Nothobranchius furzeri: one gene and its partner. The protein of the gene in region 1 purifies or fractionates together with the protein of each later gene. This does not show direct contact. Links are inferred from orthologs where the notes say so. Each region holds a gene or a part of one and is shown on either strand. Other genes may lie near its edges. The genes, in order: ptpn9a and lztr1.

Region 1 (3,822 bases):
CCCAGCCCTGAAGCCGATCTTCATCCGCCTACATCACAGATCACATGATCAGGAAGCAGACCATCCATGTGTTTGGAGATCGTTTTGGGCCGTTCCTGTAAAAAAAGTGAGGCGCGAAACGGAAAAGCGTCTGCCGATCACAATTCGACAACGGATTATGAAAGAACGGATAACGCTCAAAACACACGGCTTCTTCCTGATGTAAGAGGTGAGTCTCCTCTTTGTTTAGGTTGTTTTGGCATCGACATCATGCTAGCGCGCAACGTTCTGTGACTCTTAAAAAAACAGTAAAAACGGTGAGAAAGGCAGCGAAGGCCGTTAGCAATCAGGAAACGGCTGGCAGTGGATGAGTTAATTTATCCCAAAAGGGCTTTGAGGGAGGAAATATTGTTAATCATATCGAACAAATATCAGACCACCTGTCTGCGATTTCCTACTGGAACAAGGTTTAAGAAAACCCAGACAGCTACACCTCGAGCCCGGTTCACTGCCCTGCAGGATTTTATGTGTTTATTCATTTAGGAGAAGCTTTTATCCAAAGCGACTTACCATTTATAACCTATAGGGCATGCTGTGATGTTTTGGTTTATAATTTGATGAACACTGGAAGTGTCTATCCCCTACACACAGATAATGCAACATAAGTCATTTGAAGACATACATATAAGTGTGGCAGGGTTTTCCCCCACAAATCTTGCTAAGCCTTTTGGTAGAGCAGCCCACCATGCCCAAAATGTTTTCAGGAAGTTTTAAATCATGATTAATATGTGTTGTTATAAACCATTTATATACTTATTTATGTAAACTGACAATACTTGTCAATATGAGGATGTTAAAATTTGCAGTTTTGTATGCCTCCATTACATTGCAGAGATGCTACTGACTTTACACAGATATTGGATCTGCTTTTTATTATTATTATTTTTTACAATGTACTGTCCAGCTGTGAAGCTTTCAGAATTGATGTATGAATGCTGAAGACAAGCCTTACAGTTTTTCTCTCACAGGTGGAGCGTTATAGCTTCTGGTATGATGCCACACCTGATACCAAAACTTCATTAGAAATGTTTTCGGTGGTTTAAAATCACAGCGGACACGGAGACAGAAGTGAAAAAGAAAGGGGGAGAGAAAGGAAGTGGTCGTGGTGGTGGGGGGTTAAAAAATAAACCAATAAATAATGAACAAGTATGTATGTCTAGAACTGCAGAAAGAGAGAGAGGAGAGGACACAAAAATACAACAAAACCAAAATATCATTGCACCCACAACAGGAGGATATATAACAGTAACCATTTTCACTGAAAGGCACACGTTAAAAATTCTGTGCATTAAGTGCCAACCAAAGCCTTAGGTCAGGTGTTTAAAATGCCCAAGTCCATAAAAGTGAGAGCATCATGTGAGCATCTGTGTGCATACATGCGCTTGTGTAACATAACAATTTTGATATAAACTCAAGATATTCTTAACATACTCCATCTTGTAGAGGCATCCGCCATATTTAGGGTCAGCTAACCATTTAGGATTAAAGCAGCTGGTTTAATGTTCATAGTCATGGCTTAGGCCCACAGGTGGTTGCTCCAACGACGTGCCAACTCGCACTTGCTCTGCGTCATCATCAAGCCACCACTCGATCAGCTCAAGGGAGATGCACTTCCTGCGCCTATCGTCTCACCATTTAAATTTTAAATGTTAATTTGGTGCATTAAAATGATTTGAAATAAATAAGTGACACTTAGCCTGTAAAGCACTGGGGAAAACCCTGTGTAGAGTGATGTGTGTGTGTGTGTGTGTGAGTCAAAGTTTGACCCATTTTTCCATAAAAATTTTCTTTATCAAATCTCAATTTGTGTAGAAAATAACTTTTGCAGTTCTCAAACTTTTTATGTGTAAACCACTTTAGAAATTAAGCACCTGGGCTCTTCTCTCTCTACAAATAATTTTTTGGTTTAGCATTTTTTTTGGGTTGTGCTGTTATGAATCTGATGACACCCCCCACCACCACCCTGGCCTCTTTATATAAGTAACAGTATCAATAAATAATAGTCTGAATATAAAACGCGGAGTTTAGTAACCTGACCCAAAACCTTGCGTTGAAGCCACAGTGGCGTGCATGACTTACCAACACCGTGAACTTCCCACTCAGCAGTTCTGAGCGTAGCGGCTCCTCGTGAGGCTGAAGTCTGACAATTCCTTCTTTAAGACGTGTTTCCTGAAGAAAGCAAATTACAGCAGGTGAGGAGGGCGGGGGCTGGAAAATCTAATTCTTGTCTGAGAATAACAGATTTTCAGAGAACTTTACCCTCAACCTTACTTTAAGTTTTTAAGACCAACACATCTTGAATGAGTTCATGGCAGGCTTGGTAAGCCAGCGTCCTTCCTAGCCTTCGCCATATTCTCGCATTATCCCGTAGGATAACGTGTACGTTTTGCTTTGGGAGCCCCCATTTTTGGAACATGTCTGTGAAAGCTTTAGAGATGGCAGCCACCATGTGTGATCCAGGAAACTCTTGTGAGTGAAGCGCCACTCTCCTCAGCTCAAACGTCTGATCAATAAGCTGTGCAGTTAGACTCAGCATCGATATGGTACTCACACTAGAACTCCAAATGTCAGTCGCAAAGCCGACCGACACGATGTTGTCATCCTAGAAAAGGCTTTGGATTTGACTGTAAATACAGTGATATAGCTCCGACAGGCATTCGTCAGTGAAATATTTACGAGTAGGCAGCTTGTAGCTCAAAGCAGTTAATGAGGCGTTTAAACCCGATATCTTTGGCAAGCGGCTGACGGTCAAGGCATATTAATTCCATGACCTTATGACTTAGTTCTTTCTTTTTGTTGATGTTGCTGCTGCACGTTGCTTTTCTCTCTCTGCCTTAGCAGCAGCCAAAGTTGTAAACTCGGTGTACTCCTTGGTGTGAGAAACTTTCAAATGTCATATCAGGTTTGTTGTGTTGAAATTCTTTTGTAGCATTCCTGCTTCTCTGAGCTACTGGTTTTTACTCCCCTGCAGTCTCTGAGGTCGGCTGATAGGATGCTTCTGGAAGTCCCTGAAACAAGTCGTAAGCTCAGAGGTGACAGGGCTTTATCTGTAGCGGCCCCTAGGCTCTGGAATGAGCTGCCTTTGAGCATTGGGTCAGCCTCTTCACTGTCTGGTTTAAATCTCTTTTGAAAACCTATTTTTATGATTTGGCTTTTACTCAGCATGAGTCTTTTTTTAGTATTTTTAGTGTTAGTTCTTAAGCTTTAGTCTATGCATTTTTATGTTGTGTATTGTTTTTTAATGTTTTAATTTCTGTGAAGCACTTTGGTCAGTTTTATACTGTTGTAAGGTGCTATACAAATAAAGCTGCCTTGCCTCGGCGTATCTCCTTTGCGCACACGTTGAAAACTGCAAATTCGTTGTCCTTTTCGGACACATTGAAAAATTTACAAGGACCTCCACCTACACAAGAACTTGTTCAATGATTAATCTGGAGCAGTGTCACTTTAACATGATGCTAAATGAAAGCCACCATATTCTTTAGTTCTTTAATGTGGTTCTGGTTGTGGTTAGAGCCAGACGGTCTCCTCACCCTGTAGCTGTGGAACAACTCGATGGCACGGAGGACGTCAAACTTGCGAGCCATGAGGAACTTGACGGCCAAATCCCTGGAGAGCGGCGACACGCTGTGCTGACTGGTCCATTTGTTGATCTCCTCTAGAAACTGGCTGGTTGCCTGAAACAGACCAGATGTTACTCATAGATCTTCATCTGTGTGTTTGGTGCAAACATGCTAATGTTTGGCATGTTTGGGGCAGGACAAGAAGTCTGGGAATTCCCAG
Region 2 (4,289 bases), on another chromosome or scaffold:
ACACTCCTTTACCCAATCCATTCTCACGGAGCACCTGCTAACATTCTATGTGGATATTTGAAACGGTTGTGCCGATTTTATATCACAAGCCTTGATGCTCAAAACTAGCTTTATTTTGTTCCTGTAAAGAAAACTAGTTGTCCTTTTATGTTGCAATTATTTCATTTGCAGCTTCCACTTGGCTTCATTTCTACATAATGTAAAAAGTACCTTCTTGAGTCATATTAATACTTGTGGGGCTAAAACTGTGATTAAGTCCTGTAGTCTCAGGAAACATGAGGCGTGCTGACTCAGACCTGTCGCTGCCTATCCCGGGCCTGCAGGATTTTCCTCCGCAGCCACTGGCACCTCGCGGTCACTATGGCGATATGCCCCAAGACTCTCTCCTCCCTCTGTAAACAACACAACAGGAGATGAGAAAAAACATGTTTACCTTCCATGTGATTTTAATCAGCTACTTCAAAGCTTAACCTCCGTTTTTTCTTTTAACAATTAAGACCCACCTCGCCCAGAATGAACTCCACGTCACAGAACTGACGGTTCTCCCACAGTTTACCGTAATCCTCGTGGAGAGTGCACTTTGGGTAGCTTGAGAACTGCAATGTAAACATTTGAATGTGATCAGTTTTAGACCAAGTTGTCTAAAGAAAATTTACTTTCTTTGTAAACACTCACCTGGAATCTATACATCTCCCCACTGCGAACATTGTTATCCACAGTCCCTCCAAAGATGTACATGGCATCTTGGATCACAGCCGCAGCGTGGAAGAGCCTCCCGCTCGGCATCTGTAGGGTTCAAATTGGTTTTCAGGATGGAAACATCATGCAATGAGCATCAAATAGGACTACAAGCCCAAGTGAAATTATTGAAGGTTTTAGCGACAAAATCAAGAATCTCCTATACTCTAATCGATGAAGTATCTATAAACAGAACAATAATGATAAAGAAAATATAAGGAAAACCATTTTGGTTCATACTTCACTGTCAAAGCTGGGATGGATCACCTCCCAGGTCTGAGAGTCCACATCATAACAGTGCAGCTCATTGGGTAGCGTGTTATCAGCAGCACCTCCAAATACGTACAGGTGGCGGTCAAAGGCGACCATAGTGTGTCCGTAACGTCTCTGAGGAGGTGGAGGAGAGCCCCGCAGCAAGTGCTCCGTTGGGATCCGCGTCCACCTGAGAAGACGTTGGAGTCCTGTGTGACTTTATCCAACACACACACTACTTATGGTTTGACTCATCAGGAAAGGCAATGCTCACATGTGGCCTTTGAATTCAAACTGAAAGAGGTTATTAGTGATCTTGGCTCCACTCTGACCAGAAAACACAAACATCTTATCCCTGCACACCGCTACTGGGAAGTTGCAGCAGGATGGAGGAATTTCACCACTTTGAACAATCTGGCGGTGACAAAACCAAACAGAGAGATATAAAAACATGGATTCAGTCTTTCTGGATCTTTTGTTTTTGTCCATTTTAAATGTGTAGGTGAAGTTAACTAGCCTCTTCCCAGCATGCATGATCACGATCCTGCAGACTGATGGTCCACATGTCGTTTAGTCTACGTACACAGAACATAAACTTATTAGGAACGCAGAGATGAATGTGTAGATGTAAAAACAGAATGTTATCTCACACACCTGGCATTCCCGTCATAGCCAGCAAATATCCACAGCTTGTCGTTGTAGACTGTAGCTCCATGTGCAGATCTGGCCACCGGCAAGCTAAAACAGCCACAAGACTTGTACAAATCAGCTTCTATCCTCACAGTTAGCAAAAAAAAAATTGTTTGATTACATGGAGAGAAAATACACTTTAGACAATTTCACTCTCAAAATTAACATGAGCCCAGATACTGGTGCCAACTAATTTCATATACACAAAAAATAAATGAATATTACCTTCCTTCCACTTTCCATTCAGTCCATTGTCCTGTGGCAAACTTATACTCAAACAGGTCGTTCTTATTTTTTAGGTTTGAATTGGAATATATGTCTCCGGTGTAGCCCCCTGGAAAATAAAATACAGACACCATACTCGTTTATTTCAAAATAATCTAAGTTTTTGCAGTTTTTGCAGATCTAAAATCAGCCAACTTTACCAAAGACAAACATGCTGCTGCCATAGACCACAGCTGAGTGGTGATATCTGGGAGCAGGTGGAGTTCCAGTGGTGAAAGCTCTGTAAGGCACAGTTTTCCACTGGTGTTAAAGTCAGATTCTTGATTTAAAGCGTTTCTTTTGGTTGCTGCAGTCTTACCGACACCAAGAGCAGTCCTTCACATCGAAGCGGAGCAAATCATTCAGCATGTTCTTCCTGTAGGGTGCAACAGAGTTAGAACACATTTATGTATGCAAAAAATAAAAATAAAACACCCATCCCTGTCAACAAATTCTCACCCATTATCTCCTCCAAACACGTATATGGCGTCCCTGTATGCCACAACTGTGTGTTTGCTGCGCCTGTGTGAGGATGCAAAACACCCAGAATGAACAGGGGTCAACACGCAGTATGTCCTCTCATGTCTCTGATCTGACAGTTTGATACCTGGCACCAACAAACTCATCACACGGAGGAAGTCTTCTCCAACGATGGACAGTCTCAAACGGGCCAAAGTTGAGCGTCAAATATTCCACGCTGTCGGAGCAGCTGTGATCAAAATCAACACTCGGGGCGACTTTGGTTGATTTACAAGACATTTCGCTAACTCATCTGATCAAACTCAGGGCCACTCATCTGAAAGGACGCCCTCTGTTAGCGACATTTCTCTGTACAAATGAGCGTTTTATTTCTCTGCTAACGAGATTAAACGCGTGGAAAGAATAAATTGCGCTTTGTTAAAGGTAGAAACTGCGACCCAACTAACAATTAGCTACTAGCTATGCTCAGAGCTAGCCTCGGCTAGCTAGCTATCGTCACGCTATGCTACAAACAACTGAAAGGTTAGCTAGTAGCGGCTAAAGTTACACTAAAAGTTCCGTTTAACCGACTAAATACTTTTTCGATTCGAAATACTTATTTAATGATGTCTTAACGAAGGTACAACATCAGGACTACTGAAATAAAAGGACAGTTATCAGGATCAGATGTCAACCACGCCCCCGTAGCACCGGTGTTTTACCGAAAAATAGCAACCCCCGCAGAACTAGCTCGCCATACACATTGTAACAAGCCAAATAAAGTTGTGTCTTTCATTATATTAAAACACTGATTCTGAAGACTTAAAAAACTTTTACTGAACCCAGTAGTTAAAAAAGGCTAATGAAATGCGCTTCCGGTGATGGGGAACTTTACAAGGCAGGAGTGCCTTTTTCTGATACAACATCAGTGAAGATTCCACTTCCTGTATGTTAATTTCAGAAATGACAAAATAATAATAAAAAGAATAATTTCAGAAATGACTAAAATAGATGCCACATTTGTTGTATATATTTGTCAAGAAAAAATACAAAATTAGTAAATACATTTTAAAATTTCAAAAAATTTTGAAGATGACAATATTTTGCATCATAATAACCAATAGTTGAATTTTTCAAACTGATTGAATAATTTGTGGATTTTTCATTTATAAGTCCATATGAGGCTCATAAATCTAAAAGATCCATAAGATTTGTAATTAATCTGTATATTTTTGATTTGTGATCTTTTTCCAGTCAGATGTTCTTAATAAACATTAACACTCCTGGTATTATGCCTGCTACTGTTTATCCATATAATCATAATAGTACCCACCTGATGTCCTCAGCTGCATCCATAGCGAGTGTCATCTATTTTGCATACTTCATTTTACTTGTAAATAAGAGTTAATGTCTAACACAAAAACTGAAAAAATACTTTAATGGGTCAGAAGGGTACTTTTGTCACTATCCTTCCATGAACATTCTCGTACCTCAGTCAATGTCAACTCGTTCAGTCTGGCATTTTTCATCAAAGAACGAAAAATCACCAACATTCATGAACAATAAATCCAGACCCTGTTTGAGCCTCGGTTTACACGGTAATGGAGGGGTGGGGGATAGTGAGTTTTATAGAATTGTTTTAAACACATTCAAAAATACATTTCAGTAATTTCTTTAGAAATGTGATCACATAATATTTTACATAAAGATTATTGGGGGGAAATCAGAAAGAAGTCATTAAATGAAAGAACACAATCATTATTTAAATACTGAATAGTCTATGGAAAGGCTGAATGCACTGGTCAAATGAATAAAATGTTAAGTAGATGCAAAGTAAGGAGAAATGAAACTGTTACAAAGTAATAAGAAAAATATCTTCTTTTTAT

Evidence for each region.
Region 2: the proteins of ptpn9a (region 1) and lztr1 purify together in Homo sapiens (affinity purification with mass spectrometry; 3 studies listed by BioGRID and IntAct, with this or other methods). This does not show direct contact. The link is inferred for Nothobranchius furzeri from reciprocal best matches to the Homo sapiens genes PTPN9 and LZTR1.

Annotation. Positions count from the first base shown.
Region 1 is NC_091754.1:45,543,594-45,547,415, forward strand, and holds part of ptpn9a (tyrosine-protein phosphatase non-receptor type 9), read right to left. Parts: intron 3,717-3,822; coding exon 3,573-3,716; intron 2,209-3,572; coding exon 2,119-2,208; intron 1-2,118. UniProt on the Homo sapiens protein: Protein-tyrosine phosphatase that could participate in the transfer of hydrophobic ligands or in functions of the Golgi apparatus.
Region 2 is NC_091757.1:45,256,721-45,261,009, forward strand, and holds the start of lztr1 (leucine-zipper-like transcriptional regulator 1), read right to left. Parts: upstream 2,928-4,289; 5' UTR 2,704-2,927; coding exon 2,552-2,703; intron 2,467-2,551; coding exon 2,404-2,466; intron 2,321-2,403; coding exon 2,264-2,320; intron 2,186-2,263; coding exon 2,106-2,185; intron 2,015-2,105; coding exon 1,906-2,014; intron 1,729-1,905; coding exon 1,645-1,728; intron 1,566-1,644; coding exon 1,508-1,565; intron 1,405-1,507; coding exon 1,265-1,404; intron 1,181-1,264; coding exon 979-1,180; intron 787-978; coding exon 676-786; intron 597-675; coding exon 504-596; intron 393-503; coding exon 297-392; intron 1-296. UniProt on the Homo sapiens protein: Substrate-specific adapter of a BCR (BTB-CUL3-RBX1) E3 ubiquitin-protein ligase complex that mediates ubiquitination of Ras (K-Ras/KRAS, N-Ras/NRAS and H-Ras/HRAS).